Linked DNA regions of Arabidopsis thaliana. The protein of the gene in region 2 interacts with the protein of the main gene of each other region in a pairwise test. Each region holds a gene or a part of one and is shown on either strand. Other genes may lie near its edges. The genes, in order: ARF19, IAA11, TPL and RGL1.

What was found.
Region 1: the proteins of IAA11 (region 2) and ARF19 interact in binary tests that used the Arabidopsis thaliana proteins (3 or more experiments, as listed by UniProt).
Region 3: the proteins of IAA11 (region 2) and TPL interact in a two-hybrid assay, tested with the Arabidopsis thaliana proteins (3 studies listed by BioGRID).
Region 4: the proteins of IAA11 (region 2) and RGL1 interact in binary tests that used the Arabidopsis thaliana proteins (3 or more experiments, as listed by UniProt).

The regions. Positions count from the first base shown.
Region 1 is NC_003070.9:6,626,607-6,636,537, reverse strand, and holds ARF19 (auxin response factor 19), read left to right. Parts: upstream 1-3,404; 5' UTR 3,405-3,758; coding exon 3,759-3,801; intron 3,802-4,097; coding exon 4,098-4,210; intron 4,211-4,289; coding exon 4,290-4,385; intron 4,386-4,462; coding exon 4,463-4,519; intron 4,520-4,603; coding exon 4,604-4,759; intron 4,760-4,850; coding exon 4,851-4,935; intron 4,936-5,022; coding exon 5,023-5,113; intron 5,114-5,189; coding exon 5,190-5,550; intron 5,551-5,627; coding exon 5,628-5,766; intron 5,767-5,848; coding exon 5,849-7,593; intron 7,594-7,684; coding exon 7,685-7,875; intron 7,876-7,959; coding exon 7,960-8,143; 3' UTR 8,144-8,855; downstream 8,856-9,931. Other genes in the region: AT1G19210 (Integrase-type DNA-binding superfamily protein), read left to right, coding at 9,008-9,565. UniProt on the Arabidopsis thaliana protein: Auxin response factors (ARFs) are transcriptional factors that bind specifically to the DNA sequence 5'-TGTCTC-3' found in the auxin-responsive promoter elements (AuxREs). Could act as transcriptional activator or repressor.
Region 2 is NC_003075.7:14,139,714-14,145,941, forward strand, and holds IAA11 (indole-3-acetic acid inducible 11), read left to right. Parts: upstream 1-2,421; 5' UTR 2,422-2,574; coding exon 2,575-2,834; intron 2,835-3,288; coding exon 3,289-3,557; intron 3,558-3,649; coding exon 3,650-3,782; intron 3,783-3,873; coding exon 3,874-3,935; coding exon of another isoform or gene 3,936-3,964; exon of another isoform or gene 3,965-4,025; coding exon of another isoform or gene 4,026-4,030; coding exon 4,031-4,215; 3' UTR 4,216-4,256; downstream 4,257-6,228. Other genes in the region: ABCB23 (ABC transporter of the mitochondrion 1), read right to left, coding at 1-1,182; AT4G28650 (Leucine-rich repeat transmembrane protein kinase family protein), read right to left, coding at 4,442-4,857, 4,938-6,228. UniProt on the Arabidopsis thaliana protein: Aux/IAA proteins are short-lived transcriptional factors that function as repressors of early auxin response genes at low auxin concentrations.
Region 3 is NC_003070.9:5,414,415-5,424,345, forward strand, and holds TPL (Transducin family protein / WD-40 repeat family protein), read right to left. Parts: upstream 6,620-9,931; 5' UTR 6,423-6,619; exon of another isoform or gene 6,160-6,422; 5' UTR 6,125-6,159; exon of another isoform or gene 6,018-6,124; 5' UTR 5,946-6,017; coding exon 5,866-5,945; intron 5,766-5,865; coding exon 5,586-5,765; intron 5,482-5,585; coding exon 5,368-5,481; intron 5,257-5,367; coding exon 5,098-5,256; intron 5,001-5,097; coding exon 4,823-5,000; intron 4,752-4,822; coding exon 4,628-4,751; intron 4,529-4,627; coding exon 4,247-4,528; intron 4,155-4,246; coding exon 4,045-4,154; intron 3,964-4,044; coding exon 3,894-3,963; intron 3,819-3,893; coding exon 3,745-3,818; intron 3,663-3,744; coding exon 3,471-3,662; intron 3,388-3,470; coding exon 3,025-3,387; intron 2,934-3,024; coding exon 2,793-2,933; intron 2,713-2,792; coding exon 2,617-2,712; intron 2,541-2,616; coding exon 2,394-2,540; intron 2,303-2,393; coding exon 2,192-2,302; intron 2,119-2,191; coding exon 1,939-2,118; intron 1,858-1,938; and 11 more. Other genes in the region: AT1G15740 (Leucine-rich repeat family protein), read left to right, coding at 1-130; AT1G15757 (Molecular chaperone Hsp40/DnaJ family protein), read right to left, coding at 9,828-9,931. UniProt on the Arabidopsis thaliana protein: Transcriptional corepressor. May repress the expression of root-promoting genes in the top half of the embryo to allow proper differentiation of the shoot pole during the transition stage of embryogenesis. Regulates the expression of PLT1 and PLT2.
Region 4 is NC_003070.9:24,744,550-24,751,166, forward strand, and holds RGL1 (RGA-like 1), read left to right. Parts: upstream 1-3,555; 5' UTR 3,556-3,777; coding exon 3,778-5,313; 3' UTR 5,314-5,637; downstream 5,638-6,617. UniProt on the Arabidopsis thaliana protein: Probable transcriptional regulator that acts as a repressor of the gibberellin (GA) signaling pathway. No effect of the BOI proteins on its stability.

The DNA.
Region 1 (9,931 bases), on a different chromosome or scaffold from region 2:
GTAAATTTATGCATGTTATTTATCACAAAAAAAAAAAAAAAAACCACCTGAAAATAACGAATTTGATATACTTTTCTACCAAATGTAATATTTGTAACCTATGGGATAGTTTTTCTTTTTTCTTTTTAAAGCGTTGACAATATGATCAACCATGATTAAATCGCATTAAAAAATTTAAACCATAATAACTTCGATTCAATCTACAGTATTTGACCAACATGGTTAGTTAACTTATGTTATTTGATCATACAATACAAACGATCATTTTGAGTCTCTACAGTAGCTGCCAAAGTTAAGAATTTGGTTGTTCTCTTAATCTGATCATATTATGTTTTAAATATTTTTTAGTTACCAGCCATAAGTTATATAGATAAATAATATCGTAGTAAAGATTCTAACTAATTGGGAATTTCGTTAAATTACGAGTTACAACTTTATGAATCCTCATGTACATGTGTGCTCGCCTGCTCGGTCTTAGCAAAAATTAATATGCGAAGCCAATTAAATGTACTGATGAGTCTGTTTGGGCTAGATTCATCCGTATCTGGGTTAATTATTGGATTGAGCAAATAAACAAATGTAAAACCAAGTTGTAAACACAGTAAACGTTAACCAGTTTTTTTTCTTTTTTTTTTTTTTTTTTTTTTTTTTTGCTGACTAGATCATGAATTCGGTTGTAGTATGCAAAATAGAAATGAAAAATGTGAATAATCAAGGGTAAAGTGAAATTTCTCCCCACAAGTTGTGTAACAACAACTATATCGATTAACGAGTCAAAAATTAAATTACCACATGAAAAATGTCAAAGTTAATTAGGAACTTTTTTTTCATTGAACCAATTAATTTTTGATGAAATTTATGGTTTATTAATCTGACACAACACTGTATAAAAGATTTTTTTTGTTAAAAGTTAAGAAAGAAGAATGTTGAGAGAACCATCAATGTTAAACCAATAGATGATAGTCAAGATTCATAGTATAAAAATTTACCACATTGGTTGAGAGATCAATTCCTTTCACCATAATGTCAATCATAATTAGCCGCTAGAAACGTTTTCTATGTCAAAAATACACAGCTTTTTCATATTGATTTTGGTTCAGAATTTCATGGTTTTATACCTTGTTTGATAACGTCATTAGAACATATGTACTTTTGTACTACTGAAACATTAAACTAGTGTGCAAAACAAGATTTTAAGATAGTCTAAATTCCAGTTAACAGAAAAATAAAAAATATTGTTGGTTGGGAAATAGTAGAACAAACGAGAGAGAGAGTGTGTGTGGTTACGATGAGGAGAAGAGACATAGAGGCATACACTCACTTAAAAGCAAAACCATTTTGGCTAAACCGAAAGACTCGGTCGGAGTCTAGAGCCTGTCTCTCCCGACATCCTCTGCCACACCTCACGTGCATGCTGCACCCACACTCACGTGCACATACATTTTTCTTGTGTTTTAGTTATTTTAGTAAAAACGATATATTTATTGACTCTTTCTGTAATGGTGGTAGAAATTGAGGAATTCACAAAAGTCCCAAGTTTTTGTTATATATGGTGCATGCGTATGTATTTGAGGAAACTTTTGCAGGATGCGTGGATCAAATCCAATTATAATTTAATTTTATATAGATATAAAAGTCAATAGTGGGAGGTGAAAAAAATATCAACAATGATTGAGTGTTACTACTACTAGAATGGTTAATTCGTTTTGATGAGGAGTGATTTCTAAACACATCAATTGTTGTACGTACATATACTCTCCACGCGCAGCAAATATTGACCCAAAAAGGCATAAAAAACACTAAAGCATGCCAACTTTTTATTCTTGTTGAGATTTACTTTGTCGTCCCATATCTTTTCAAATTTTGATCCTCTATAATATATGTTTAAACCTAACTTATCAAACTTTACATTCCTTTTTCTTTTGCTCACTAGGTAAGGCTCTTGAGATCGCTTCACCTCATCTCTTGTTTAACATTTATAAACATGTAGCTGTCTGGTTAATCAATTTACATGTGGTAAATTATAAATTACTCTAGAAAGAGATGTATATTAAACTGCTAAGTTCATGGCTAATCTTCGGTATTTCTTGTTTAACCGCGATAAGTTGAACATATATTAATGAGCTCTTATGGTTTTTGTTTAATGTCCATTTGGAGGTGTGATCATCTCATATGTTCTCACCAAAAGATTACCACTTGAATTCTTTTACATGTGAAATGTTTTAATTTATTAACCCTCTTCTGTTTTGATCAAAACATAAACTATATATTTGAATCTTTTATATATAATTCATATTAATTAAATAACATCATGTTTTCAATGAATGTATTGACATGATATCAATGAAGAATATTTACTTTGGAAAGAGTCAGAGTTGTTCTCGAAAGATATTTAAATGTTCCAAATTATTTCCGTTTGTCTAAACATAGAAAATCCCTAATTACATATAAATCAACAAAAAGGTAATAATTAGGTCAAAACCTCCCCCACTAAATACATGTATACTGAGATTCAGAAATACAATACTATTATAGTATATGTTAATTGAAAGCAAAATTCATAAGAAAGATCGGCGTTGAAAGGAAAAAGGCTCTACAACTACATTTTATATGCATACGTAGAGAGCTGAAAGTAAGGAACAACTCTACTCCGGTCCAGATTAATTGTAAAGAACTTTATACATTAATTAAAACAAAAACGAACACTTTATACTATTGATTAAAAAAAGAAGAAGATGAATAAAATAATTGCCTGAAAAATTAATAATTACACATGAAGGCTTAGCTTTAATTGGAGTATAATGATGTCCGTAGCTCTGTAAACATGTGAAGTTCTCCTCCTTTTGCGGCTAGTGGGTGCTCCATTGCGTATCAAAAGGAATATTATTCTAATCATAATTAAGTCATTAAATTACTAGTAGTGTTTTTTTTTTTCTCGCATTATACGGACATGTCTCAATTTGGACCAATCCATATAAATGAATAAACTTATTAGCTACTACTATATTATAACAGAAAATATGTATATAAAAGAAAAAAAGTGGGACATCTTTTCTGGTAACCAAGAGTTTACAACTTTGGATTAGAAAATATTTAAGTCCCCATTTGGCTTGCAATTTTCGGTCCGCCGAACCTAATCCTTAGGTTTTTCTCAATATATCCGGGTTTATGGTATAACCTCATTCATAAGAAAATCCGTATTACTAAAGTAAAAAATTAAAAATATGGTTATAAAAACGAGGGAAAGTTAACAGATTTTAAAACCATGGACTGTTTTTCCAACAACAGTAAATTATAATCGGAAAAGATAAAAATAAAAAGAAATAAAAAAGGTGGGACCGACAAGAAGAAGACATCAAGTGGGGTGCCACGTCAGAAGGCATAAGAAAAGATTTCATCTTTCCGCATGTATCCGATCCCAATCGGCTTAAATCTCAATATCGATTATTGTTTTTATTTTTTTGAAAAAACACTTGAGAATCTGCAGAAACACGAGAAAAAAAAGAAAAGTTTCAAAGCTTTTTAAGAGCTTAAAAATTTGCTTTGAAGCTTCAAATATTCTTATGAACTAAAAAGAAGAAAAAAGCTTTTGTTTCTTTTTCCTTAGCAGCAGAATGATTTTTGTTTCCAAAATTATTACTATTTAGTTTCTCTCGTGCTCTTCTCTTGAGCAAATACAGATTCGTTAATTTTGCTGAAGAAGAAGAACTCTGTTTCTTCCCTGCACCAAACCAATTTTTTCGTTCTTTCTATAAACCATGAAAGCTCCATCAAATGGATTTCTTCCAAGTTCCAACGAAGGTACACAAGCTTTATATTTATCTTCTTCTTTTCCAGATTTTATACTATTCAATTTCTTCATCAAGGAGTTTCTGCATTTCATGTTTGTGATTTTCTCATTGAAAAAATGAATTTTGTTATTCAATTTCAACTTTGGAGTCAGCACAAAGTCACAAATCGAGTTCTTCTATCACTTTATTTAATAAAGTGGTTGAAACATAAATGCCGCTCATAAAATTTCCAGACTTTAAATGAAACTATGCAAAAATTCTATCACTTTTAACAGATTTGAATATGTGTGTGATGATGATGAACAGGAGAGAAGAAGCCAATCAATTCTCAACTATGGCACGCTTGTGCAGGGCCTTTAGTTTCATTACCTCCTGTGGGAAGTCTTGTGGTTTACTTCCCTCAAGGACACAGCGAGCAAGTAAGTTCATTGCGTTTCAAACTATTTTGAAACCTTTGGTAGCAATCTAAGTAATATGTTCAATGAAACCTTTTTTCAGGTTGCAGCATCGATGCAGAAGCAAACAGATTTTATACCAAATTACCCAAATCTTCCTTCTAAGCTGATTTGCTTGCTTCACAGTGTTACATTACATGTAAGTCTCTTCTGACTCCAACTTGTGAATCAACAAGAAGATGAACTAATCAGGACTTTTGTGAAATTCTGAATCAGGCTGATACCGAAACAGATGAAGTCTATGCACAAATGACTCTTCAACCTGTGAATAAGGTCTGAATTATATCATTCTTCTTGTGCTATCTTGGTTTAAAGTTGAGGACTTTAATGCTGATCTTTGCTCAAAATGTGTGACAGTATGATAGAGAAGCATTGCTAGCTTCTGATATGGGCTTGAAGCTAAACAGACAACCTACTGAGTTTTTTTGCAAGACTCTTACTGCAAGTGACACAAGCACTCATGGTGGATTCTCTGTACCGCGTCGTGCAGCTGAGAAAATATTCCCTCCTCTTGTATGTCTCTCTGATCAAAGCTACTCTCAGTTTCTTTTGCTTCAAACTTTTGAATCTGTTTTGCTAAAAGTTCTAAGGGTGCTTAAAATAGGATTTCTCGATGCAACCGCCTGCGCAAGAGATTGTAGCTAAAGATTTACATGATACTACATGGACTTTCAGACATATCTATCGAGGTTTGAATCATCTAAAGTTTGTTTTATTAGTCTAAAAGATTGAAAACTTCAACCTGATTTGTTTTCTTTGATGTAATCTGATCTCAGGCCAACCAAAAAGACACTTGCTTACCACAGGTTGGAGCGTTTTTGTTAGCACAAAGAGACTATTTGCGGGTGATTCAGTTTTGTTTGTAAGGTATGAGTCATACTTTGATCAAAACATTAAGCAGAATTGGACTTTCATCTTCTCATAAGGGTACTTGGGTTTGCAGAGATGAGAAATCACAGCTGATGTTGGGTATAAGACGTGCAAATAGACAAACTCCGACTCTTTCCTCATCGGTCATATCCAGCGACAGTATGCACATTGGGATACTTGCAGCTGCAGCTCATGCTAATGCCAATAGTAGCCCTTTTACCATCTTCTTCAATCCAAGGGCAAGTCCTTCAGAGTTTGTAGTTCCTTTAGCCAAATACAACAAAGCCTTATACGCTCAAGTATCTCTAGGAATGAGATTCCGGATGATGTTTGAGACTGAGGATTGTGGGGTTCGTAGATATATGGGTACAGTCACAGGTATTAGTGATCTTGACCCTGTAAGATGGAAAGGCTCACAATGGCGTAATCTTCAGGTAATGACATATCCGAGTTATGCTAAACTGTTTATGATGGTCATTTCTTCTGAATCTTTTGTTCATGGTTTAAACAGGTAGGATGGGATGAATCAACAGCTGGAGATAGGCCAAGCCGAGTATCCATATGGGAAATCGAACCCGTCATAACTCCTTTTTACATATGTCCTCCTCCATTTTTCAGACCTAAGTACCCGAGGCAACCCGGGATGCCAGGTGAGTTTACTGCTTTCGTTCATTTTTTTCCCATAGATCTTTGACTGAGTTTCCGGATACTAACCTTGGTGGTTTGTTGCAGATGATGAGTTAGACATGGAAAATGCTTTCAAAAGAGCAATGCCTTGGATGGGAGAAGACTTTGGGATGAAGGACGCACAGAGTTCGATGTTCCCTGGTTTAAGTCTAGTTCAATGGATGAGTATGCAGCAAAACAATCCATTGTCAGGTTCTGCTACTCCTCAGCTCCCGTCCGCGCTCTCATCTTTTAACCTACCAAACAATTTTGCTTCCAACGACCCTTCCAAGCTGTTGAACTTCCAATCCCCAAACCTCTCTTCCGCAAATTCCCAATTCAACAAACCGAACACGGTTAACCATATCAGCCAACAGATGCAAGCACAACCAGCCATGGTGAAATCTCAACAACAACAACAACAACAACAACAACAACACCAACACCAACAACAACAACTGCAACAACAACAACAACTACAGATGTCACAGCAACAGGTGCAGCAACAAGGGATTTATAACAATGGTACGATTGCTGTTGCTAACCAAGTCTCTTGTCAAAGTCCAAACCAACCTACTGGATTCTCTCAGTCTCAGCTTCAGCAGCAGTCAATGCTCCCTACTGGTGCTAAAATGACACACCAGAACATAAATTCTATGGGGAATAAAGGCTTGTCTCAAATGACATCGTTTGCGCAAGAAATGCAGTTTCAGCAGCAACTGGAAATGCATAACAGTAGCCAGTTATTAAGAAACCAGCAAGAACAGTCCTCTCTCCATTCATTACAACAAAATCTGTCCCAAAATCCTCAGCAACTCCAAATGCAACAACAATCATCAAAACCAAGTCCTTCACAACAGCTTCAGTTGCAGCTACTGCAGAAGCTACAGCAGCAGCAACAGCAGCAGTCGATTCCTCCAGTAAGCTCATCCTTACAGCCACAATTATCAGCGTTGCAGCAGACACAAAGCCATCAATTGCAACAACTTCTGTCGTCTCAAAATCAACAGCCCTTGGCACATGGTAATAACAGCTTCCCAGCTTCAACTTTCATGCAGCCTCCACAGATTCAGGTGAGTCCTCAGCAGCAAGGACAGATGAGTAACAAAAATCTTGTAGCCGCTGGAAGATCACATTCTGGCCACACAGATGGAGAAGCTCCTTCTTGTTCAACCTCACCTTCCGCCAATAACACGGGACATGATAATGTTTCACCGACAAATTTCCTGAGCAGAAATCAACAGCAAGGACAAGCTGCATCTGTATCTGCATCTGATTCAGTCTTTGAGCGCGCAAGCAATCCGGTCCAAGAGCTTTATACAAAAACTGAGAGCCGGATCAGTCAAGGCATGATGAATATGAAGAGTGCTGGTGAACATTTCAGATTTAAAAGCGCGGTAACAGATCAAATCGATGTATCCACAGCGGGAACGACGTACTGTCCTGATGTTGTTGGCCCTGTACAGCAGCAACAAACTTTCCCACTACCATCATTTGGTTTTGATGGAGACTGCCAATCTCATCATCCAAGAAACAACTTAGCTTTCCCTGGTAATCTCGAAGCCGTAACTTCTGATCCACTCTATTCTCAAAAGGACTTTCAAAACTTGGTTCCCAACTATGGCAACACACCAAGAGACATTGAGACGGAGCTGTCCAGTGCTGCAATCAGTTCTCAGTCATTTGGTATTCCCAGCATTCCCTTTAAGCCCGGATGTTCAAATGAGGTTGGCGGCATCAATGATTCAGGAATCATGAATGGTGGAGGACTGTGGCCCAATCAGACTCAACGAATGCGAACATATACAAAGGTTAGAGATCTTTCTCTCCCTTTCCATAGCTCTAATCTTTTGCTTCTTAATTTTCGAATGCTAAATGCCGAAAGTTGTTAAATCATTGAAGGTTCAAAAACGAGGGTCAGTAGGTAGATCAATAGATGTTACCCGTTATAGCGGCTATGATGAACTTAGGCATGACTTAGCGAGAATGTTTGGCATCGAAGGACAGCTCGAAGATCCGCTAACCTCTGATTGGAAACTCGTCTACACCGATCACGAAAACGATATTTTACTAGTTGGTGATGATCCTTGGGAGTACGTTCCAGACCTGAAAAATCTATCTGTAACAGTCAAGATTGAACAATTCTGATAATTCTTGTCTGTTTGTTTTTTCCACAGAGAGTTTGTGAACTGCGTGCAGAACATAAAGATACTATCATCAGTAGAAGTTCAGCAAATGAGCTTAGACGGAGATCTTGCAGCTATCCCAACCACAAACCAAGCCTGCAGCGAAACAGACAGCGGAAATGCTTGGAAAGTACACTATGAAGACACTTCTGCTGCAGCTTCTTTCAACAGATAGAAATAAAAAGATGCAAATATACCAAGTCAACTTACATTATCATTCGAGGCCATCGCAAAGTACATGTTTTTTTTTGTGTGTATGTACTGCAAACAACAAACTGAGAAGAAGAAGATACTGCACGGTATATAAACATTTTTATAGGACAGTGATTTGATTTTTCATTCTAACTTGATGTTGTTGTACTTTCTTGTTTCCATATTTGTATAACAAGTATAATGCTTGACAAGTCTATGAGGAGCATATCTTATACAGAGATACTAAGATGTAATGTTAATGTAACTAAACAATTACCTTCATTAATCATGAATCTTTGGTCGTTTCTTCTTCTTCTCTTCAGTGCCTCCTAAGAATCAGGGATCATTTCAGATTCTTTTATACCAGTATCCTCTAGACGCAGCGAAATATTCAACATTTCAACGTTTGAAAACGAAAAGAGAGGAGTTAAAGAAAGAATCACGTGAAAAACAAGGACAAGGACAAGAAAACCAAACAGTCTCTGAGATTTCCCGTGTGAGTTGTGACCCACACACATTAAGACTCAAGCTTCTAGTAACATCCGCCACGTGTCCATTCCCCTGACACTTTGCGGCGTTTTAAGTACAAACGCGCTCCCTTTGACCTTTGAAGCTGACCTTCTTTCTTCTTCACGCGCCATAAAAAGTCAAAAACTCACTCTTCACTCTTTTATTTCACTCGTATAAATAAATTTCTGAAGCGCCAAATACAATTATCTCAATTCAAATCAACACTAACACTGAAGAACAGAGCTCACTGAAAAAACTTAACAGAACAAAATTAAACCGGAAAACAGAGAAATCATACCGGGTTGGTTCAATCGCGTCTTTGTTTGGTTTAATCGTGATGGAAGGGTCGTCTTCTTCGATGCAGTCAAAGTACAAAGGAGTGAGGAAGAGGAAATGGGGAAAATGGGTTTCAGAGATCAGACTTCCCAACAGCAGAGAACGTATTTGGTTGGGCTCTTACGATACTCCTGAGAAGGCGGCGCGTGCTTTCGACGCGGCTCTTTATTGTCTCCGTGGCAACAACGCAAAGTTCAATTTCCCTGATAATCCTCCGGTGATCTCCGGCGGACGTAACTTGTCGCGATCTGAGATAAGAGAAGCTGCTGCGAGGTTCGCTAATTCGGCGGAGGATGATTCAAGTGGCGGAGCAGGATACGAGATACGGCAAGAATCTGCTTCAACATCGATGGACGTTGATTCGGAGTTTTTGAGTATGCTTCCGACGGTTGGTTCGGGTAACTTCGCTTCGGAGTTTGGGTTATTCCCTGGGTTTGATGATTTCTCCGATGAATACTCCGGTGATCGTTTCAGAGAGCAGCTTTCGCCTACACAAGATTATTATCAGCTTGGAGAAGAGACTTACGCCGATGGTTCCATGTTTCTTTGGAATTTTTGAATTCCATTATTCACAATCTGAAAATTTTGACTTGGGTTTTTTATTTTTTTTTGTAGTTCTTTACCCAATTTTTTTTTGATCATTGGGATAAAGAGTTATTCATTCACTATTTTTTTCCCACGTGTTAGATTTTTCAGATGGGAAAAGGCCAAACTTAATAAAACAATTATATTTGGATCTTCTGACGTCATTTGATCATATTATCATGATATCATCCACTCCAATCGCTTTCACTAGGCCCAATTACAAATCTTATTTTAACTGTACGATTAAGCCCAACAATAATACTTCAGGCCCATTAAAATCAATAAGGGTATTGTCTTATTAAATTTCAATTACAATTTTTACTTTAAGTTGTACGATTAA
Region 2 (6,228 bases):
AACACCACCGAGAAAGTAAAGAGGAAGAGACAATTGAAAGAGAAGACCATTCACCATCACCAAATCACCAACTGTCATCTCTCCATTCATAATCCCTTGAGAACACAACACCATTGATGTTGACAAAGCTGTACTAAATATAAAACTCTGTCCAAAATCTAAAAACGCAAGACTCTTCTGAGTTTGCAATGCAGCATCTTCATATCTTCCGAGTAAATCATCGTACTTTCTCGCTTCGTAATCTTCGTTGTTAAAATACTTAACAGTCTCGTAGTTTACAAGAGAATCAATAGCTCTTGTGCTTGCATCATTATCAGCTTGGTTCATAGCTTTTCTAAACTTAGTTCTATACTGTGTCACAACCAATGTGAAAGCTATGTATGATCCAACGGAAAGAGAAGTGATCAAAGCAAAAACAGGTCCAAAATTGTATGCTAATATACCTGTGACCATTGATATCTCCAAGATCGTTGGAACAACATTGAAAACCATAGCAGAGAGGATCGTGTTAATCGCGCGACTTCCACGGTCAATGATTCTATTCAAAGCTCCTGTTTCTCGATTCAAATGGTAACGAAGATCAAGATCATGTAAATGCGAGAGCACTTTACGAGAAACAGATCGTATTGTGCGGAGAGATACTTTGGAGAAAACAGCAGTACGAAGCTCGTTAAAAGCTGAAGATCCAGATCGAGCAATGCCATAGCCAATGAGAACGGAAGAAGGAGTAGCGAAAGCAGCAAGTAGATAAGGATTTGAATCAGTGATTGTTGAAGATGAATATGAAGAGAGTAAATCGATAGATAATTTGAAGAGGAAAGGAACTTGAACATTCAAGAACTTAGCTCCTATGAGACACGCTAAAGCAGCGATGACTCTGAATCGGAGTTCTGGGTTGTCTTTCATCCATAGATAGCTTGAAATCGTGCGGAGGATCTTCTTAGATGATGCTGTTTTGGTTTGATCTTGATTTGGAGTTGAAGTTGAAGTTGAGAAGAAGAAGACTCGTGCGTTGACTGGAGATGGAGATGGAGATGGATCGGTGAAGAATGCATTGATAGCTGGTGATCTCTGAATTGAGCTACGTTTGATAAAACTGGAGAAACTGTGATGGTGATGATCAGAGCGAAGACGGTGATACAGAGAAGCGCGAGAGAGGAGAAACCGAGATCCCCTCATCATCGCTTCTTGTCCGAACGAATCACATACAATTTGGTCTAAATCGATTCTTTAATTCTCTGTTTTGTTCTCTCTGTACTACAGAGTAGCTTAACAAGAAGACGAGGAAGAAGATATCAACTCGGAAATAACCGGTTTTGGTTTTCTGTTTTTATTAAGATAATGAAATTAGCTATCTCGGAGATAACCGGTACTGGTTTGATTGCAACTGGGCTTGAGAGAATCAGATACGGTGGTACACACCGCAGCGAATCTCAGAGTATTCATTCTCTCACATGGACTCTTTCGAAAATTCAACTCTTCTACTATATGCAATTAATTAAAAAATTGAACGGTTTATTTGGAAAGTGAAAAGAAGCAACGGTCGGTTATGTCTTCCCTCCAGACGACAGGGTTTTTATTCGGACACCACTAAAAATGGACAGCTAAACTCCTTTATTGCCTTAAAAATTCAATTTTAATTACGTGATTAAAGATTAGATTGCCACTTGATTTTAAAATACTAATTAAACCTATATAGTGATGGTATCTAACTATCAATAGCTTTAAACCGGAACTAATCAGCACCGTCCGATTTGGAAAGATGGATGGACCAAAGGACGTGTGGGCACGAGTCCCCCCTCTCTGTACACGTGGGTCCCACTAAGCCTTCTAAGTAATCTTTTTCTAGCCGTCCGATTGAATCCCATGAAGCTGACATGTGAGCCCCCACTTCTTGAAAATATATATTTGTATGAATTTTGTTTTTATTTTATTTTCCAGCCTTTTAAAAATGTTTTTATTAATACCACGGATACTACCGTTTTGATATCAAATTTTCTTTGAAATCTATCCGATCTTATATCAGATTTTGGAGTCAAATACCAACTACAAAAATCTGAACATTAATACAATAATATACATTTTGAAAAATCATGTTGTCCATTATATTTTTTGGCATCTAATCCTATCGTTAATTGATTATAAGTTTATAAATATATTACAACGGAATTTCGCATAATTGTAAAACTTCCCTATATAAACTTACGAAAAATTGAAATAATTATACCAAAAGTCCACATATTTTATTTTAAAAACTTACATAAGTGGATATTGTTAAAAGAAGGAAAAAAAAAGAGTTTCTAGTAAATATAGTCACGGAATAATGTGAGAAATTTATTATTGGATCAAAAAAATGATAAAATTGGGCGAGAAATAAGACTAAAAGTTAGGGAAGTGAAAAAGAGACAAATCCCACCCGTCGTGTCTTCTTGTTCATCCTTTGTTTCCCTTTTTCTTTCTCACTGTTTCTGCCTTACTTAAAGTCTCAATCTTTGCTTCAAATTCAACCCATCTCTTTTTCCTCCCTTCCCTCACAATCAAAATCTTAATTCTCAGCTTCTGGTTTTGTCGAAAATGGAAGGCGGTTCCGCTAGTGGATCGGCTTCGGCTTTGTCAAACGATGAAAATCTCGTCGTTTCTTGTGAGGATTCTTCTTCTCCTATAGGGAATGAGCTTGAGCTTGGTCTTACGTTGAGCCTTGGTCGCAAAGGGTATCGAGATTGTAGGGTTTACGCTGATGATTCTTCTTCTTCTTCATCATCTTCTTCTCTGAGCAGAGCTAGCGTAATTGCTGGGATCAAGAGGACAGCTGATTCCATGGCTGCAACTAGTGGGTGAGTGAAATTCTCTTCCCTTTCCTCTTTTACATTTTGATCAATTATGGTTTATTTGGGGATTCTTAATATCATGATTATCAATAGAACTATAAATAAAGATTTGATTTTTGCTTTTTATGGTTATGGGATTGATTAGACAGAATGTCCTTGATCACAGTTATCTGAAAAGATTCGACCTTTGTTACGTATAGATGACTTTGAATGTATCTTCCTGATCATTAGATAGTTTGCTTTGGTCATTATATCTTCAAATTGAATCTTACTATCGTTTTCTAGAGATGACAGTTTTTTTCTTCTTGGATTCTAAAGTATTTATTAGCTTTGGAGAGAAAGTGATTAATCCTGTATAGTGATTCTCTTGGTATCTGATTTTACAAGGCCCTGAAGTGTTTATAACCCTTTTTATGTGTTTACTCTTATTTGAGCAATTTGAAACCTTTGAAAATGGCAGGCAAGTTGTGGGATGGCCACCAATAAGGACTTACAGAATGAACAGTATGGTTAACCAAGCTAAGGCTTCAGCCACTGAAGATCCGAACTTGGAGATAAGTCAAGCCGTAAACAAGAATAGAAGTGATTCAACAAAGATGAGAAATTCCATGTTTGTTAAGGTGACTATGGATGGCATTCCTATTGGAAGGAAAATCGATCTGAATGCTCATAAATGCTATGAATCATTGTCAAACACTCTAGAGGAAATGTTTCTGAAACCTAAATTAGGTGTGCTTTTCGAATCTCATGGCCTTTTTTTTGGTTCCTTTGAAGTTGGTTCTTGGTATGGGAAATGAAGTTATGATTCTTTCTTTAATCAGGTTCACGCACACTAGAAACCGATGGTCACATGGAAACACCGGTCAAGATACTACCAGATGGGTCTTCCGGATTAGTACTAACGTATGAAGACAAGGAAGGAGATTGGATGCTTGTTGGCGATGTTCCGTGGGGGTATGCATACATATGTTCTTATGCTTTTGATGCTTTGTCCCGTGTAAGCGTCAAATTCTGAAGTTTGAACCTGAGTTTTACTTGTGTCTAGGATGTTTATTGGTTCAGTGAGAAGGCTCCGGATAATGAAAACATCGGAGGCTACTGGTAAAGGTACATTTACTGATTCGATCAAATCCTGATATCTGTATTAAAATCATTGTTTTGTCGTTGTGACCGTGTTTGTGTGATCCTTGTTTACAGCTCAGATGATATTATGAAGCAAATAATAATCTACGAAGAACCCTTTATGTTTGAAGCAGTAATAAGACAGATCACAGATCAAAGAGAAGACAAAAACATTGTAAGAAGCTTCTTCTTCTTCTCTCCCCTTTACAGTTTCTTTTTTGGCTCTGCCATTTTTCTTTTAGTTAGTTATATGTTCTCTTTGTAAATCACACTTTAAAAATCTATAAGAAAACCCTTTCTTGCACAAAAACAAAACGGTTCAGAGCAATGCACAAAGTTAATATGATCATGTAAAACAAAGGAAACTTATTCTACATGGAAAAATTAAATCAAAAGATACATATCTCTCTCTCTTTCTCTCTTTCTTCTACATACAGAACACGAATCGAACGAATCAGTTTATCGGCCTCTTTTGATTCTTAAATCTCATACTAAAGAAGGCCATTTACAGGTGAAGTACTAAAAACCGATGAATGTTTCTCGGCCAAGCTACGACTAGTGTTCTCTTCATTACTATTACTTTTCCTCCTCGGTTTAGCCTCTCCGAGCATCGATATCACATCTCTCATCGAAGGTCTGTCTTTCGGGAGCTTTGTAGTGCAGAGAAGAGCAATCTGTAGAACTAAAAGCATCTCTTCTTGCACATATCTGCAGTTTCCTACGTTAGGATCTAATGCTTCTTCTAGTGATATGTTGTCTCTTATCTTCCTTCTCACCCACTCCACAATGTCTACTGATTCTCCAAACTCCGGTTCCAATGGTCTTCTTCCGGTTAACAGCTCCAATAGTACGACGCCGTAGCTGTATATGTCTATCTTCTCATCCACCTTCAAAGTGTATCCATACTCTGCAAATGATCAACCATATGTTGTTAGACTAAACCGGATTGTAATCAATTTAGTAATCGGTATGGTATTTAAACCTTACCGGGAGCAATGTAACCGTAAGAACCGGCGACCATTGAAACGGTTTCTTTCTTCCTCGCCATCATCCTGGCGAGGCCAAAATCGGCGATTCTGGCGTCGAGATTCGCGTCGAGCAAGATATTGTTGGATTTGATGTCTCTGTGAATCACCGGAGGATGACAATCATGGTGGAGGTAAGCGAGGCCGTGAGCTACACCTAACGCGATGTTGTAACGCGAAACCCAATCAACGAGAAGTCTCCCGGCGGCGTTTTTGCCGTGAATCGCATCACCAAGGTTTCCGTTGAGCATGAATTCATATACGATCATCATGTTTTTGTCGTTGTATAAGAACCCTAGGAGCCTCACTATGTTTCTGTGTCTCAATTTCCCGAGGAGGTTAACTTCGCCTACGAAATCTCCGGTGGTTCCATCTTCAATATCCGCGGCAGATCTCCAGAGCTTCTTCACGGCGAGAACTGTGCTTGATCGTGACATTTCTGCTTTGTACACGATTCCGGTTGCTCCCATTCCGATCATGTTTGATTCTTTGATACATGCCAAGATATCGGAAGCTGTAAACCCTAATCTATGAAACGCCATTAATCTCCAAGGCCATTCACCTTTGCTCGCCGTCTCGTCGCCGCAGAATCCGTTAGAATACCATTTCTTGTACAGAGTTCTCGTAACAATGGTGAGAATCCCTAGAGCTAGAACCGATGCTATCCCAATCAACCATCCGGCGACAATTCGTTTCCCGTGGAGGCTACTGTGACTCGATGTTGCTCTTTGGAATTTACTACACGGTGGTAGAACGCCGCCGCAGAGACCGGAGTTTCCTCTTAGATCATCTGGATTTATGGTTTTGAGAAAGCCGTTGATAGGGACTGGACCTGTGAGCTTGTTGTATGAGACGTTTAGGAGTTCCAGAGCTGGAGATGTTCCGATGCTCTCTGGTAGTACTCCGGTTAAGGAATTGTTGGAGAGATCTAGCACTGCTAATGCAGACATTGTCGTGATCTGTCTAGGGATTTCGCCGGTGAGGTTATTATTTCTTAGGTTGAGGCTTACGAGCTTCTCGCATGAAGCAATGCTTGAAGGGATAGTGCCAGTGAGAGTGTTTGATGAGAGATCGAGATTAGAGAGTGAAGGACAATCCTGGAATTGGTCTGGAACTTCGCCGGAGATAAAGTTATCGGCGACTAAAAACGCCTGTAGGTTGTGAATTGAGAGGATTGTGGAAGGGAGAGATGATCGGATCTGGTTTCTTGAGAAATCAATGAAAGAAAGTGAAACTGAATCGGAGATGTCTCC
Region 3 (9,931 bases), on a different chromosome or scaffold from region 2:
ACTACGTCACCTGAAGCCATTGAAGAACTTGAGATCTCTGACCTTGGAGTCCTGCAAGCTCTCTGCTAATGACATCAGGAAGCTTCAGGCGACTGATCTGCCAAACTTGGTCAACTTCCGTCCTGAATAAAATAATATGTTCAAAGGCAAATTCACGAACTCTGTAAATAGATCGATCTCCTCTGGTCTCAGACTAAGACACTGCTCTTAGATATATCGTCAAAAGCTATGCTCTTCTTCGGATTATTTGCTGAAGAAACTGTAAATAAAGCTTCTTTCAAGCTATGGCCGGACGAAAGAGTCCTCCATGGCTCTTCTACGTGGTCAGCTTTCAGGATCTGTTTGGTTTGTTTATCTACTGAAGTGAACCAACATAAACTGTCACTCTTGTAAATATATGTAAATTCGAAATATCGACTGTAATATATAATTGAATATCTTGCACAATAGAAAATCTATGTGAAGGTAAAAATCTCAGAAAAGGAAAAGAGAGAGAAACAACATCAGTCACTGTTTTTATCCAAACTTCACTACTGAATTACTGTGAAAATATGTTACATCTAAATGTTAAGAATCTCTGGGTCATAAATTTTTCTACCAAAAAAATAAGAAAGAAAAGACTTTTAAATAGAAGAAAGGGAATCAGAGAGGTAGGTGGCTCTCGGATCAGATCATCTCTGAGGCTGATCAGATGCAGAGGCTCCAACGGAAGGTGCAGTTGGTGCACCGCTAGCCGACCCGTTCTCAGCCGGTGGAGCGACTCCCCATTTACCTTCAGACTCGAGCGGTTCGAATATGTGCACTCCCCCGTCTGAGAGACCAACTGCAAACATGTTTGGTTCTTGCGGATGTGCAGCAATCACTAGTGGATGTACGTTTGAATTGCTGCACAAGTCAACAAGAGGAGCTTTATGATATATAAACAACTAACCGATTGATGTTTAGAAACGTTCTTTCCGAAATTTAAAGATTCCTCTGTTTTTTTGGGTAAATTTCAAGATTCCTCTGTTTACCTGAGACTAGCTGGTAGATACGCAGAAGGGTTGACCCGGCAACGCAGCCGTAGATTTGCAGAGCTAAATACACAAACTGTTGCATCCATAAAACTCGCGTAGACCAATTGGCTATCGCATGAGAATGTGGCATGAGTGATTGGAGCTAATGATTCTCGAACAGCCCACTGAAACATTGCAATCATTAATCATCTTTCAAATGCAATAAATTGCAGATCTTAGAGAGAGCGGCCTATAAATATAAAATACCTGTTTCATGCATTCGAGCTTGGTAGTTTCGTATATAGCAAGTTGCGTCTCGTGCACAACGAGGAAGTGAGCTTGATCTTGATGGAACTGAACACGCGTATCTGAAGGTGCACTGTTTGGTCTTCCCTGTGGAAGTGGCAAAACCTTGCTTCTCTGCTTTTCCCATCCATCTGTGTTCCAAACACAAAGCTGAAACAAAAACATTTCAAAGACTATTGATCTTTTCTTCATCGATTCTCAAAAAAAAAAAAAAAAATGGTCTAAGGCGGGAACCTGTGCATCTGCTCCAGACGAAACCAACACGTTTAATACGTTGGAGAAGGCAAGACCAGTTATTCTCTTTGAATGACCTTTAAGCTTACTCTTCACCTGCAGGAGCAAACAAGGAACATGATGGCCATCATATTAACAAACAAAACACTTCATCTTCTTTTCTACATTCTTCTCTTGAGTTTTGATGCATTACCTCATCAACACGGACATTATAAATCTGAATCGTGCTATCATCCATCCCAATAGCGATGATATTGTTGTCTTGAGGATGAAAAGCAAGAAAAGTAGCAGCCGGTGGTGGGGGCATGAAAGTCGCCATTGTCTGCAAATTATTAGCCAAGAACAGTCAGTCAAATTGCATACACAGAACATCAAAAGATCAGCATCTATGTGTCCCCATTACCTTAAACGTCATCATGTTAAATAAGGATATCTTTCCTCCGGAGGCTGACATTACATATGAATCATTCTTGGATAAAGCAAAACAAGGTACAGCTTCCTCGGGATTGGTTTCAGCAACATCGTTAGTCATGAGGATCCCACTAGCTGGTTGCCACTGCTGAGGCGGTAAAGAAGCTGTCGCCTACACGGAAAATCGAGATGTAGAGATCAGTGACACTTATCATTATTTGACTAAGAAAGAGTCTCAATTTCACCTTTCCAGTTGCGTTGCGCTCATTCCGCTGCCATTTCCATAGAAGATGAATTGCGTTTGATGCCAGAGCCAAAATAGCATTTCCCGAATTCGTGAAAATCAATCTTGATATCTGCCAAAAGTCATTGGTTTTATTGTCAGAAAAAAGAACAGCTATATATATATACCCTATACATGGCTCAGAAAATGTATATTTTATATACCTTGGCTACTCTCAGATTCTCAGGGAGTCTCAGTGACCTGCATTGAGAAGGCTCGCTGACTTCAGTAAGCTTCCATATCTTAGACTTATCATTTGATTCTTCTGTGATCACTGGCTTCACATCCACCATATTCCGCGAATCTCCATTCTAAAAAGGCAAGTGATGAATAATAGAAAGATAAAATAAAGTGAGTGAAAGAACAAAAAAGAATTGTATTTCTTACCATTCCTTGGATGGAAACTACATTGGCTGATCGATCTGCGTGACCAGCACTTGTTGCAGCAGCTGCCGCTGCCGCTGCTATGCTGTTTATTGCAGGCTGCAAATGTAGAATGAAGTGTTGACTAAATCTTTCAATTGGGTGTAAGTAATTTAAAGCTTAGCTTAGATTTTAAGTACCTTGGAGGATTCAGATGATATGTTCTCAAAAGTGTGCAATAGCCTTAGACCATCTGAGTTTGCCATAATCTTGATCACATTCTCGTTGCCAGACACGGCCAGGAGAGAGCCTTCCTTGTTGAACCGGATACGCGGGCTTGCCTAGTTTAAATATATTAGAAGCGCAAGTTAAGAAGAAACTCCAAAAGAATATCTGAAAACTTTTCTAGTTAGGCATTTTTTGTTCATGTACCTGGAGGCCTCCATCGCCATCAATGGCAGTTAAAAGCTGTACAGCGTCCATATCCCAGAACTTGATGGAGAAATCATCACCCGCAGCTAGATAACGGTTTTTAGTTGTATCAAACTGCACAACACCTAGAGAACGCTTGTGGAATCCTTGATAAGTTCTTTTAACAGCTCCTTCGCTTTCATTCCACTCAACAATGAAAGACTCTCCATCTTTACTCGTCCCACAAGAGAATAGCCTAGTACCATCGGCACTATAAGCCATTGTAGTACACCAGCGACCAGGTGCATCATAGTCAACTCGGGAACCCATATTATCATACAACCAAGCCTTAATTTTCCCATCAAGAGCTGTTGAAAATATGAACTTGATGACAGGAAAAATACAACACATCAAAAAACTGAAACATTTAATAGAAGGGAGGGAGATCAACGGTTAGCTAAGCTTACCTGAATGTTTTCCTTGTAATGAGGACAAACGGAATAAACAGGAGCTTCATGGCCTTCAAAAGTATGCCTTTTGACACCTGTTGCAGCGTCCCAAACCTTGATGGTTTTGTCATCACCACAAGTTATTACACATAGTTGCTTGTTTGGAGTCGAGAAGGAAATATCATTCACACCACCAACATGAGCATCAATCTGAAATAATCACAATATTACAAGAAAATCCCCAAGGGAAAAAACGATTGTTAAAGAGAGAGGCTTGTGAATGGTACGAGACCTCAAGGTGTTGCCTCATGTCTTCACCTCCGTGATAAGAGTATAGTTGTACAATATGTCTCGAGTAAGCAACTCCTGCAATTCAGAACGTTTGGTGACTTATAAAGTTGCATTCATGTGCAGATATAAATTTAAAGGCGAGTTCTTTACCAAACAAGGAACCGTCAGGGCTCCATATCACACGGTTGACAGAAACGACAGGTTCTTTCACCAGAGCAGCCTGAAGATACAACTAATTCAGTCACTGTAGATTCATAACATATATAAAAGTTAACATTTTGTTGTTGCTATGCATAGGCACCTGCAAGGGCATTGAACATTTACTCAAATCCCAGACTTTGAACGTCTTCTGTACTAATCTTTCGCGAGAACCAACTTCCCACAGCCCGATATCACCTACATTTGTACCAACTGGTACAACAATTCAAACGAATTTAGAAAATTGCTGATGATTATTATTATTATTATTACACAGAAGCACATACAGAGAGCAAGAAACACACCTAGAAGCAGGGTCTGTTTAATTGGATGGAAATCCATGCTCATGGGAGATGAGCCCTGACTCAAAGTTCTCGCAACTGTCTTGGGCAAGTCGTCAGGTGCTTTGAAAGCCGGAGAATGACCATGGGCCTGCCCTGAAAATGACATCGGTAACATGTTCACGCCTAGATTCACCTCGTCAGAGATTCCCATTGGTCTTGTTCTTTTTGAGACATGTTCAGAATCTGCTGACGGGTAGTCTAAAGAAGCATTAGTTGGAGGAGTTCTCGGGTGCTTCAACGCCGCTATACCAAAGATAGGAAAGGAGTTCCATTGTAAGCAAATTGCATAGATCACACAAAGTGTGTCTGAAGAAACATACACATTTGATAAGCAAGTAGTACCTGGGATTGATGGACCACCAAGTGCAATGGCTCCTGCTGAGACAGCTGGATGTGGGACAGAGGATGGACTAGACATCCAACCAGCAAGAGGTGTTGGAACAGGTGACGCCGTTGGTTGAAATGGCTGGAAACATAGAGACAATCAAACACTTGGCCTCAGGAAAACATAAATAAAAATGATAGAAACTAAATTACCCCGTGTGCGCCTAAAGGAGGAAATCCTCCAGCCTTTGGTATCCCTCCAAGCAGTGGATTGTTCACAGGAGATGGAGCTCGTGCGCCATTTGGAGGGCCACAAGAGTGATCCACAAAAAGAGTCTTGATATCTGGATTTGGCCTTGGATTTTTACAAAGCTGGTGTTGCCAATTTAAGCTGCGAGTTATGCAGTAACAAAAGATAGAATGAATTAATATGCCAACAACAACTTGAAGTGAATAAGACAAAAAGATTAAGGGACAAAGCAATAAACCTCTGGTTGATCAAAGTCCTCAGCCTTGAATTTCTAAGAGTAGGGAACTGCAATTTATCACGGAATAAAGGATTCGCCTCAATCAGCTTTTTGAGTTCCACCAACATGATCGCTCTTGCAGACTTGGTGTCCCCATACTTGGATAACTGTTCATTCTCCCTAAAAGTTGATCAAACTCGAAACACTTAATACTCTGCATCAATCTTTCTTTTGAACTACGGCTAAGAAAACAAAGGCTTTGGACACTACATTAATCCAATATAACATTACCGGAAGTTCTCCAATGTCAAGAGCTGTGTTATTTCCTTGAAAAGCTCCTCATTAAAAGTTGAAAACACTTTCAAATCCTTCACTAGTATATCCACAGCCTTGGGACGATCATGCCTACCAACAAAAAAGTCACCAAGGTCAATCACAAATCAGACTCTTTTTCTTTTGCTATCTCACTGAAAGGAAAAAAAAAAAACAAATCCCCAACCATGACTTACTTATCCAAAGCCTCGAGATACTTCTGCTTTCTTATCTCGAAGAATATCTTCATAGAGTATCTATTATCATCTACTTTAGTGAAACCAGAGAGATACTTCTCAACCTCATCCCAATTTCCATTGTGAACCTCATCCTCAAAATACTTCATATTGAAGAAAAACCCAGATTCTTGTTCAAGCCTGAACATGACAAAGCAATAATGCATTAACCAACACAAGAGCTAAACAGGTCAGTTGGTAAATTAGATCCAAGGAAATCTACAGAGCAAAAGAGACATACTTGTGAACAGTCTCTTTAAACTTCTCTTCATCGAGAAACTGTAAGATCAAGAAAACGAGCTCTCTACTAAGAGAAGACATGTTTTCTCTCACTTCCTTAAAAGACTTTTTTCTAACTCAGATGCACAACAACTAACCAAACTATCACCAGATCTGCAATATAAACAATGGCCGAAATGAGCTCAAATCTGAGTTTCCAGATTATGGAAATTAAAAAACACGAAAAGAGAAGTTAGAAATGAAAGCTAAAAACTTGGAACCTATATCTGAATAATTATCCAGAAACTTCGCATCTCTGCAGATAACGGCAAAAAAAAGAGGAAATTTAGGTCTTCCTGGAATTGGAAGATGTGAATTTAATAGCTTAAAAAAAGAATCTTTTTTTACTACATGAAAAAAGCAAATTAATTATCAGAAAGGGGGATGAAAAAATAAAGCAAAACCCAGAAAAAAGTTTGGGCAAAAGGATAAAAAAATATATACAATAAAACTCGAAACAGCTAGATTCCATTAACAGAGGCAACAAAGGTAGAAGAAAGAAGCGTGAAGCTTACTCACCATAAAGAGAGAGAGATCGATGAAGAAGAAGAAGAAGACCACAGAGACGAAAGAGGTGATGGATTGATTTTTGGACTCTTTTTCTCTCTATCGAAAAAAGGAAACTTGAAAGAAAGCAAAACTAAATTAAAAAGCTTCTTCTTCTCTCTCTCTCTCTCTCTCTCTATCTAGAGAAAAAGGGATTTTCTCTCTCTTCGAGATATATATACGGACATTAAAACTTGCAGAAATGGAGATTTTAATAAGAGAAGGTGACAGATAATTGGATGCTGATAAAATAAGTTAGCTATCACTCTAAGAAAAGCTAACTGCGATAAGCAGGAATGATAAGTAGAACTGCTTATAACTACGACTTGATCGGCTACATTTCTCGACGTTATCGGCTCGGAATATTAGTTGCCAGCTGTACTCCACAGAGGTGTGATCCACTCCTTCGCGATGAGTTTTACACCTATCTGGAAAACCGTCGATTTTGTCAGATGGCGCGGAGGACGGAGATCTAACGGCTAGAGTTTCATTCAATGTGTCAGACTTGTCTCCAGATCCCTCGTGGCACGACAAAGCTTTTTATATTGAGTCATTGCCCTCAAGTTTGACTAATATTTACGGATATGACATTGAAGAGCCAATTGCTCTTGAGATGCGTTAACTCATCGAACATCACGTGATGGAGAAATGTTCAACTCGTAAAGATGCTACGTCGTCTTTCTTCTCGGCGAGATACGAAATATGATTTATAAACTCGGTTTATCACGATTTATACGATATGGCTGATGTTCCTCATATAAAAAAAACAAGAACAAAACTAATACTACTAAATATTTCAATATTATAGTATTGTTTGAACATTTCTTGGTCCAACATGTTGCTGAACATTATCATTATTCTTTGATAATATTATTCTTTATTTTTAACTTTTTCATTAGAGGTTAATTTAGTGCATGATTGGTTGTGAAAAATGTAAACGTAAGGATGTGGATAGTAGTTCCTATTAATTCTTTGTATACACAAGAACCACTTGCATTGACTATTATTGTTAAGATGTTCGTGATAATTTATACTTTAGTTTTGTTTGTTTATAGATAGATTGCTACTAGGAGCAGGTGGATCGGAATTAGCTGGATTCTTTCCGTTTAAATAATAGCAGGGGAAGGAAGTACAAGATACTATAGCTTAGAAGTAATAATAACGCAAGGATTAATTGTAAATGAAACCGAATGTGTATTGTTGAAGTTATAAATAACATTTTTAAAATATATTAGAGGGGTGAAGATATCGATGGAGGATGGGCAATAAATGAGAGTTTGTGTAATTTAGAGTCGCACGTTTGAGTAATTTGACATCTATCCCGTCCAAACACAAACACTGTTGTCTCACCATCACCACACGTAAAGCGATAACATTTTCAAGTACAAACATAAATATGTAATCGTGATTTACGATTTATTTAATTTAGCGTGTGTGTCTATCTATTTTTAGTTTTTTTTCTTACAGTAGTTGTCCACTACGACTAGTCTACTACTAACCATCACGAATCGCGAGGTCATAAATCATAATAATAATTAAAAAAACGATATACAAGTACTGAAATTCTTTAATACGAGCAAAGCATAATATTTTAAGTTTATAACCAGTTTTTTTTTATTTTACTAAAGTGTAATATCATAACTGAGGTAGGTTGGATAAACTAATGAAACGAAGCGTTCAAACCATTTAAGAAACATGATAAGTATTAAAAATAAATTATACTATTAGAAATATCTTATATATCTTTAAATGTTAAAAATATTTTATTTATAAAAAATGATAGGTGTGAAGAATATATTTTTATATATTTTTAAAAAACTGGATACGTGTTAAAAATAATTTAGAAAGCAAACTGTACTTTGTTAAAAGCTTTAATCAAACAATATATATTGAAAAGAATCGTTATGAGCGCAACACAAATATATTCTAAACAAATTGATTGTAGTCTAATGATTAAGTTAGAATGATATCAAGAAAAAGAAAAAAGTTAGAATAATAGAGATTTTGTCATATAGATATCACAGTTAGAATAAAAATCCCATCAAATACAAATCTACACTCTTACTTTTATTTTTGATAGAAAAATTCTATGTATTTTACAAATTTCGGAGAATTTGCTCGTATTAAAGAAAATAATGCTATGTGTTTAATTCATATCTTATAACTAAAACATAATTTAAAACTTACTGTATTAATTAAGAGAAAATAAAATCTGACTTATTTAATGGAAAGAAGAAGAAACAAACTATAGCATCACAATAAATAAATAAATAAAGGAGTTAGAATTGAGCATTGAGGGATAGATGGTGGTTGCAATTTTTTTCTTTAAGTTAAAAAGCTATCCGGCCAAAAGCAAAGCAAGTGGGTCCCATCCGGCGTATCTGTCCAAAAGTCTCACTATCACGAGATCAGTGACGCTCTGATCAACCTCAGCCCTAACTTCTTCTTCTTTCTTTCTTTTTTTCGATTATTATTTCCCCATTTAATGAAAACGAAACGTTATTTATTTTAATCATTCACGATTTAATAACGACTGCTAGTACACATCTGCCTCTACTCTATACCGGTAACTGTGCGATAATCCCCCAAATTGAATGATAAATCCAACTTCAGATTCTCTTTATTTTCATTTCTCCATTGACTCTAATATTGAACTCAACTATTGAAATTTTCATTTAGCAACAAAATTTGCCAAGTACGTATGGCCAAAAATATACTCTAGTATTAGAAATTGTTATTTTAATCGTCAAGAAAGTGGTCTTTTATTAAGGCATTATTTATTAGTTTTAGGGATATGTCGCTTTCCATTAATGTATGTGTCCCCTTCTCTTACACGTTCACATAAAGGTTTTATTGCTTTGCCATTTTCCTTATTCTTCCTTTTCTCTGTTTTTTCTTCTTTTTCTTTTTCTGGTTCAAATTCTTCTTCGTTTTCTCATATCCCGGTCATATGGCAATATATCGATACTAGGTGTTTGACTCAGTTGGTGATGAAAATATACATATAACAGACTTAACAGTATAACACGAACACACGTTATAAAAGGCGTATTTTATGGTCAAACAATGTATATAGAATCTTCATATTCATTTCCTTCAAATTCTGGTTAAAAAAGAAGAAGAATAAATATAAGTGTTTCTCGCAATTTTACCGAATATATGATCAGCAACTCATGCACCATACACTCTCCAAGAAAAGAAAAACAAATCGATTTTTGGTGAAGTTCTGATCTTGCAAATCTTTTTGTACAAAACTTAGTGTAATAACTATTATATTTGATGTTAATTATGTAAATTACTACTATTCAAACATATACAAATCTTTATTAGATTGGATATTTTATACATTTCAGTCAAATTAAACGCATATATAATTTATTAAGTGTAACAACAACATACTACGGAACCAAGACAAAGGCCTGTTGTAAACTTCATTCTTGAACAAAACGCAATGCAGCCTTTTTCCCCTCCGACTTCAGGCA
Region 4 (6,617 bases), on a different chromosome or scaffold from region 2:
ATAATTGGCGGTAAATCTTTGGTTACAAATGAAGGAAATTCACAACAGTTCGACTTTGTCTTAGATGTGAAATAGAAGAAGAATCTATTAATCATGCGATTTTTAAATGCCCTTATGTTCGTCATACTCGGAGATTAGCACATATCCAATCGGCAATTAATGTATATTCCTCCAAAACGAATTTTGTTAATCTGAATTTTTATTTTATTTTATTTTTTTAGAAACCATGATAAAAATAAAACATGATAGATCAAATTTTAACCCAAAGATTACACTACAATGGTATTTAATCCATGAGAGCTAAAACAATCACACAAAAGTTTACAAAATTAACTCAAAAGAAAAGATTGTTTTGTATGGTTTCTAAATTAACTAAGGGGGTGTTTTTCGTTAATGGATTTTATAGAATTGAAATCCAACACTAATCCACTATTATTTAACTAATGATTCTAAATCCAGCTTTAAAATCTAGTGTTATTGGAACTCATATTTGTAAATCATGCTTAATAGATTCTAAAGTTTGGTGTTATTCAATTAAGATTTTAAATATTTCATTAAAATCCAATGTTATTCAAAACTAAAAGACTTGTAAAATCTTTGTATATTAATTGATTTGAAATGAAAGTTCTTTAGAGTTTCATGAGTAAATCATTAGAATCAAAATCCAAGACATATTGCAGAGATTTTGAAATTCATACAAACATATTCTTAAAAGCAATATCGGAAAACAAATCTAAAGCTTAAAGAATTGACTTTAACTCCATAATTGAATAACACCACCTAAGACATTAGTAAATTGTAAGTGAATAAAAGAAAGCAACAAAAATAGTTAACAATTGGTAGATAAGAATTACATGCAGTGTAAGAAAATTTCACAAGGACTCAAATCACAATTATCAAATTTTGTAAATAGATAAGAATTTTCAAAATATCAAGTTGTCTAGCTAAATACTTAAGATTGTAAACTGCAATTCAAATTCAAGAAATTAAAATGGACATATATAGGGAAGTTATGGGCATGTATGTGATCTCGTACATCCCTTAGAGCGAGGTCTAAACCATCATTTGGAAAGCTCACCCCTTCCAACACAAATCGAACACATGACTTCTAAAATCTCTACGTTTTCGGTGATCAAAGGGATTTACCACTAGAAGTGCCAAGTTGACGGTTCTTGGGAATGTAAACTCTACTTCTAGGTTATGTTGGATATGCTTTCAGGAGGAATCTATGACCCTATTGCTAGGATTTAAGTCCCATCGCAAAAATATTACTCTGCTCATTTTCTTGAATTTCTTATATGGGCTATGAAGACCATTCTATCAAGTGCACTCACATGGTAGAAACTAAAGTCGGATCTCTGAGCTGATCATGATAACGCAATACCCCTTTGAGTGGCTCCACTTTAGTGGACTATTGTTTTCTCTTATTGTACTTTAGGTCCTCGTGAATTAATCTCTCGGACGAAAGTGTTTAGCATGTAGTATTTTAGCCCATTATTTGGGTAACCAATTAATGTTTATTCCCTTAATGTATTGGTGATGATAAAAAGAGCAAGTAGACTACTAAGTTCTTACCAACCAATAACCGAAGGTACCAAACGATTCGAAATTAAAAAGAACGAATAATACTGATGAAAACTGTTGAATTAAACAATGTCATAGAATATAGTCACTTAATTATGACTATTTCTCTTTCAAGGCACTAATCATCCTTGTAAATCATCATACTTTCCAACAAGTATTAGTAAACAAAACCTACTAAACTAAAATAGAACCTTAATTTTAATTATCATTGTTTAGACATTTTTACATACATGTTTTGAGGAAAAGTCTCCTAACTATCATAATGATCAAGTCTAGTCTACTATTAATAGCAAAGAAATTAAAGAAACTATCAAAAATATTTGGACCTAGACATCAACATCTAACAGTATAACCTAATCAATCAAAGTAACAATCTTGGTTCGAAATGAGGATATGCATTATGTGAAAAGGGTCATTGTAGAACTATGAAAAATGGTTATGCATATGGGGAAGCTTAAAAATGTTTTATGATTGCATGTATCTTTCTTAAAGCTCATACCGAAAGAGCTCCACATCTAATAATGGTCGTAACCACACAGTATTTTATTTATTCTCCATCTATCGCCTTTTGAACATGTCTAAAACACAAGTATATAATAAAAATGCGTATTACAACACAAAAATATATAATACTAATATCGCTAATAAGAATATAGAATGATATTATTATATATTCTTGTTGGGTTATTTTGACGACAGTTCTTAAGTCAACTTAATTATTTTTGCAAAAGACATTTTTGCACGTTAGTTGTAATTTTTTTTCGCAACTAAAAATATATGCAAATATTTTACATAAAACATCTTTTGCTTTGTTTTGTCAATCTCTTATGCTTACACTACTTGATAGTCATTTCTTTGAGGAAGAGCGCCAATCCTACAAAAAAAGTAAGAAATATTTATTGTTACAAAGGTGATTCGAATTCGAGTGATAATTTCACAACGACGCTTACAAGAATAGCTAGATTTCATGTATTTTCCGATTACCAATTTTTTTTTGTATCAACAACAACATGCATATGAGTTTGAACTTCGACGGTGTCACATCAGCTCTTGCACACTAGCACAAATCACTAAATTACGTTTTTAGTCAATTAAAAATAATAAAACATATACAAATATGACCACAATCATAATACTACAATTGAATGGCGATGATATAAATTCAATTTTTGTATTAGTAATACGGTTTGAAAATCTACATTCGAAATGTGAAACGTACAATGCCATCATTATGCAAAAAAAAAAACAACTTTCAAACATTATTCTATATGAAATGGAGGAATTGGTAAAAATAGAATTCATTACATCACCTAAAGATTAATCACCCGATAATATAAAAACAGAAAACTAAACAAGATTTCCCTGAAATTTATAGTTTAATATATTTTCTTATGAACATAATGAATTTCTTTATTTATTCTCATTTATGAAGATGATATAAAAGTTTGAACAATAATCACAACACAACACATAAAAAGTAAATCTCCTAATCACCAAAAACTATAAAAATGAAATGTATGTTTTTGTAGTTGAAAAAAGGGTGGTGGTTGGCTTTAGAAATTGGACTTTTAACCTAAATGTTTCTCTACAATACAACTTCCAAATCATAACCGTTATTTAATATTACACCTAGTCTTCATCAAATAATCAAAATCACAAAATAATCAAATATCAAAAACAAGTTGTTATAGTTTTTAATCAAAATAATTATGACATAGCATAGATTATAGAATATCTCGTTCAAATAATGATGTCAGGTTTACATCAATCAAACTGAATTTTCTCGAGAAGCATATTTTGAAAATTAAAATTTATTCGCAGAAAAAGAAGAGAAAGGAATCTACTATTATTTACTGTATATTATATAAAGAGGAAAATAAAATAGGTAAATAAATTTCCTTTTATAATTGCTTTAGATTGCGGTTGTACCACGGCTCTGCTCTTGCTTTTAAGAACTTGCCGGTACTAAATTTCATATACTCCAATTAAAAGCTAGCTCGAAACCCCAAATGTTATTTTATTTTTCTATATAATAATAATCATACATTATAAAAAAAAATCATATCATTATTTAAAAATAGAATTTTATTTTTCTTTCTTCTTCTTCAATTATTATGACACTCCCGTGTTCCTAATCTTTTCTCTTATTCTTCTCTTTCTTCTCATCTTACAAAATCTTGCAAATCAATTTTAATGAAGAGAGAGCACAACCACCGTGAATCATCCGCCGGAGAAGGTGGGAGTTCATCAATGACGACGGTGATTAAAGAAGAAGCTGCCGGAGTTGACGAGCTTTTGGTTGTTTTAGGTTACAAAGTTCGATCATCCGACATGGCTGACGTGGCACACAAGCTTGAACAGTTAGAGATGGTTCTTGGTGATGGAATCTCGAATCTTTCTGATGAAACTGTTCATTACAATCCTTCTGATCTCTCTGGTTGGGTCGAAAGCATGCTCTCGGATCTTGACCCGACCCGGATTCAAGAAAAGCCTGACTCAGAGTACGATCTTAGAGCTATTCCTGGCTCTGCAGTGTATCCACGTGACGAGCACGTGACTCGTCGGAGCAAGAGGACGAGAATTGAATCGGAGTTATCCTCTACGCGCTCTGTGGTGGTTTTGGATTCTCAAGAAACTGGAGTGCGTTTAGTCCACGCGCTATTAGCTTGTGCTGAAGCTGTTCAACAGAACAATTTGAAGTTAGCCGACGCGCTCGTGAAGCACGTGGGGTTACTCGCGTCCTCTCAAGCTGGTGCTATGAGGAAAGTCGCGACTTACTTCGCTGAAGGGCTTGCGAGAAGGATTTACCGTATTTACCCTCGAGACGATGTCGCGTTGTCTTCGTTTTCGGACACTCTTCAGATTCATTTCTATGAGTCTTGTCCGTATCTCAAGTTTGCGCATTTTACGGCGAATCAAGCGATACTTGAGGTTTTTGCTACGGCGGAGAAGGTTCATGTTATTGATTTAGGACTTAACCATGGTTTACAATGGCCGGCTTTGATTCAAGCTCTTGCTTTACGTCCTAATGGTCCACCGGATTTTCGGTTAACCGGGATCGGTTATTCGTTAACCGATATTCAAGAAGTTGGTTGGAAACTTGGTCAGCTTGCGAGTACTATTGGTGTCAATTTCGAATTCAAGAGCATTGCTTTAAACAATTTGTCTGATCTTAAACCGGAAATGCTAGACATTAGACCCGGTTTAGAATCAGTGGCGGTTAACTCGGTCTTCGAGCTTCATCGCCTCTTAGCTCATCCCGGTTCCATCGATAAGTTTTTATCGACAATCAAATCAATCCGACCGGATATAATGACTGTGGTCGAGCAAGAAGCAAACCATAACGGTACCGTATTTCTCGATCGGTTCACGGAATCGCTACATTACTATTCGAGCTTATTCGACTCGCTCGAGGGCCCGCCAAGCCAAGACCGAGTGATGTCGGAGTTATTCCTAGGACGGCAGATACTAAACCTTGTGGCATGCGAAGGAGAAGACCGGGTAGAGAGGCATGAGACTTTAAATCAGTGGAGAAACCGGTTCGGTTTAGGAGGATTTAAACCGGTTAGTATCGGTTCGAACGCGTATAAGCAAGCAAGCATGTTGTTGGCACTTTATGCCGGGGCTGATGGGTATAATGTGGAAGAGAATGAAGGTTGTTTGTTGCTTGGATGGCAAACGCGACCGCTTATTGCAACATCTGCGTGGCGAATCAATCGTGTGGAATAAAAATAAATAATGGGAAAAGTGAAAATGTGCTATATACTTTATTGCATTGCTGATAAAGAAAAAAAGTCCCACGTTTTCCAAATTTTATGAATTCTAAATTTTGTTCACTTGTCACGAGATTTTGACCTCGCATAAATAGACTATTACGTCAGGGTCAGGCCAATGAAATGATTTTTTATCACTTGTTCTCATTAAGGTAAAAAAGGTCTTTTCTATTTCATCTTTGGTTTTCGATAAAATTAAAATTGAATAAGAGATGAAATAATGATATATATAAGGTGATAGTCTGATAGATATGGATAAATGTTTCATGACACGAACCAGTAGTCAAGTTCTTTTGAGAATAATCCTAAGACCATGGACTTTAAATAGATTGGTTAAAGGGTCATTATCTCTTTAATTAAGGAGGACAGTGGTGTGTTTAAAATGTATTTGTGCTCTTTTGACGTTGATTTAATTAGTACCCACCGCCAAATAATATATGAGCATTCCTGTTATCGCATGTTGACATCATTTTAAGAAAATGATTTTCGTAGGTAACATTTTGTTGGTAATCAATTTAACAACTACCAATTTTATTACTTTTAGAAGAAATATGCATGAGCTGACATAATTATACTGTACATAAGTTCATAAGTTTCTGTCGGTAGAGAGGTTTGTTCATCAGGAATTCGTAATGACGCAAAACATAAATTTGTCTTTAGAAACTTTATATGAATATATAAATTTGGGAAACTATTATAAATCCTCATAAATTTTAACAAATTTTCAAATACTTTTACCTTTCTAAAACTTTTATATGTTGTTTCTTATAACTTACTTACACAATTTTGTAACAATTTTCCAAGTATAACCAGAATTGTTTTGGTAATAAAACCTTCCTCAGAATATGTTCTTGGAAACGAGATTTTAATTTGATGGGCATCATCATTCTTCGACACTACAACCATTTTAAAATTTTGTTTTACTCGTTGAAAGTATTTTCTTTTCAATAATGGTGCATTCTAGGTTTGATTAAATTGTGAAGTCCAAACCCAAGCCCAATAAGGGAAGTTTGAGGCCTAACCCAACTCCTAATATAAGTTTCTCGTGTGTGTAATTCTATGATATTACCTTTTTACGATAATTTAATTAGTCATTTTAAAAATCTTTTAATGAACTAATGACGCGTCGAAGCCGCGATTAAAAGCTGCAAAAGTACATGCATGAAGTCAATGTATAACGCTTTCTATGGTATTGACCTTGGCAAGTTTAAATTTTTTAGGCTCATATTTCGGACCATTTAAGGAAAGCAATATCTAGAA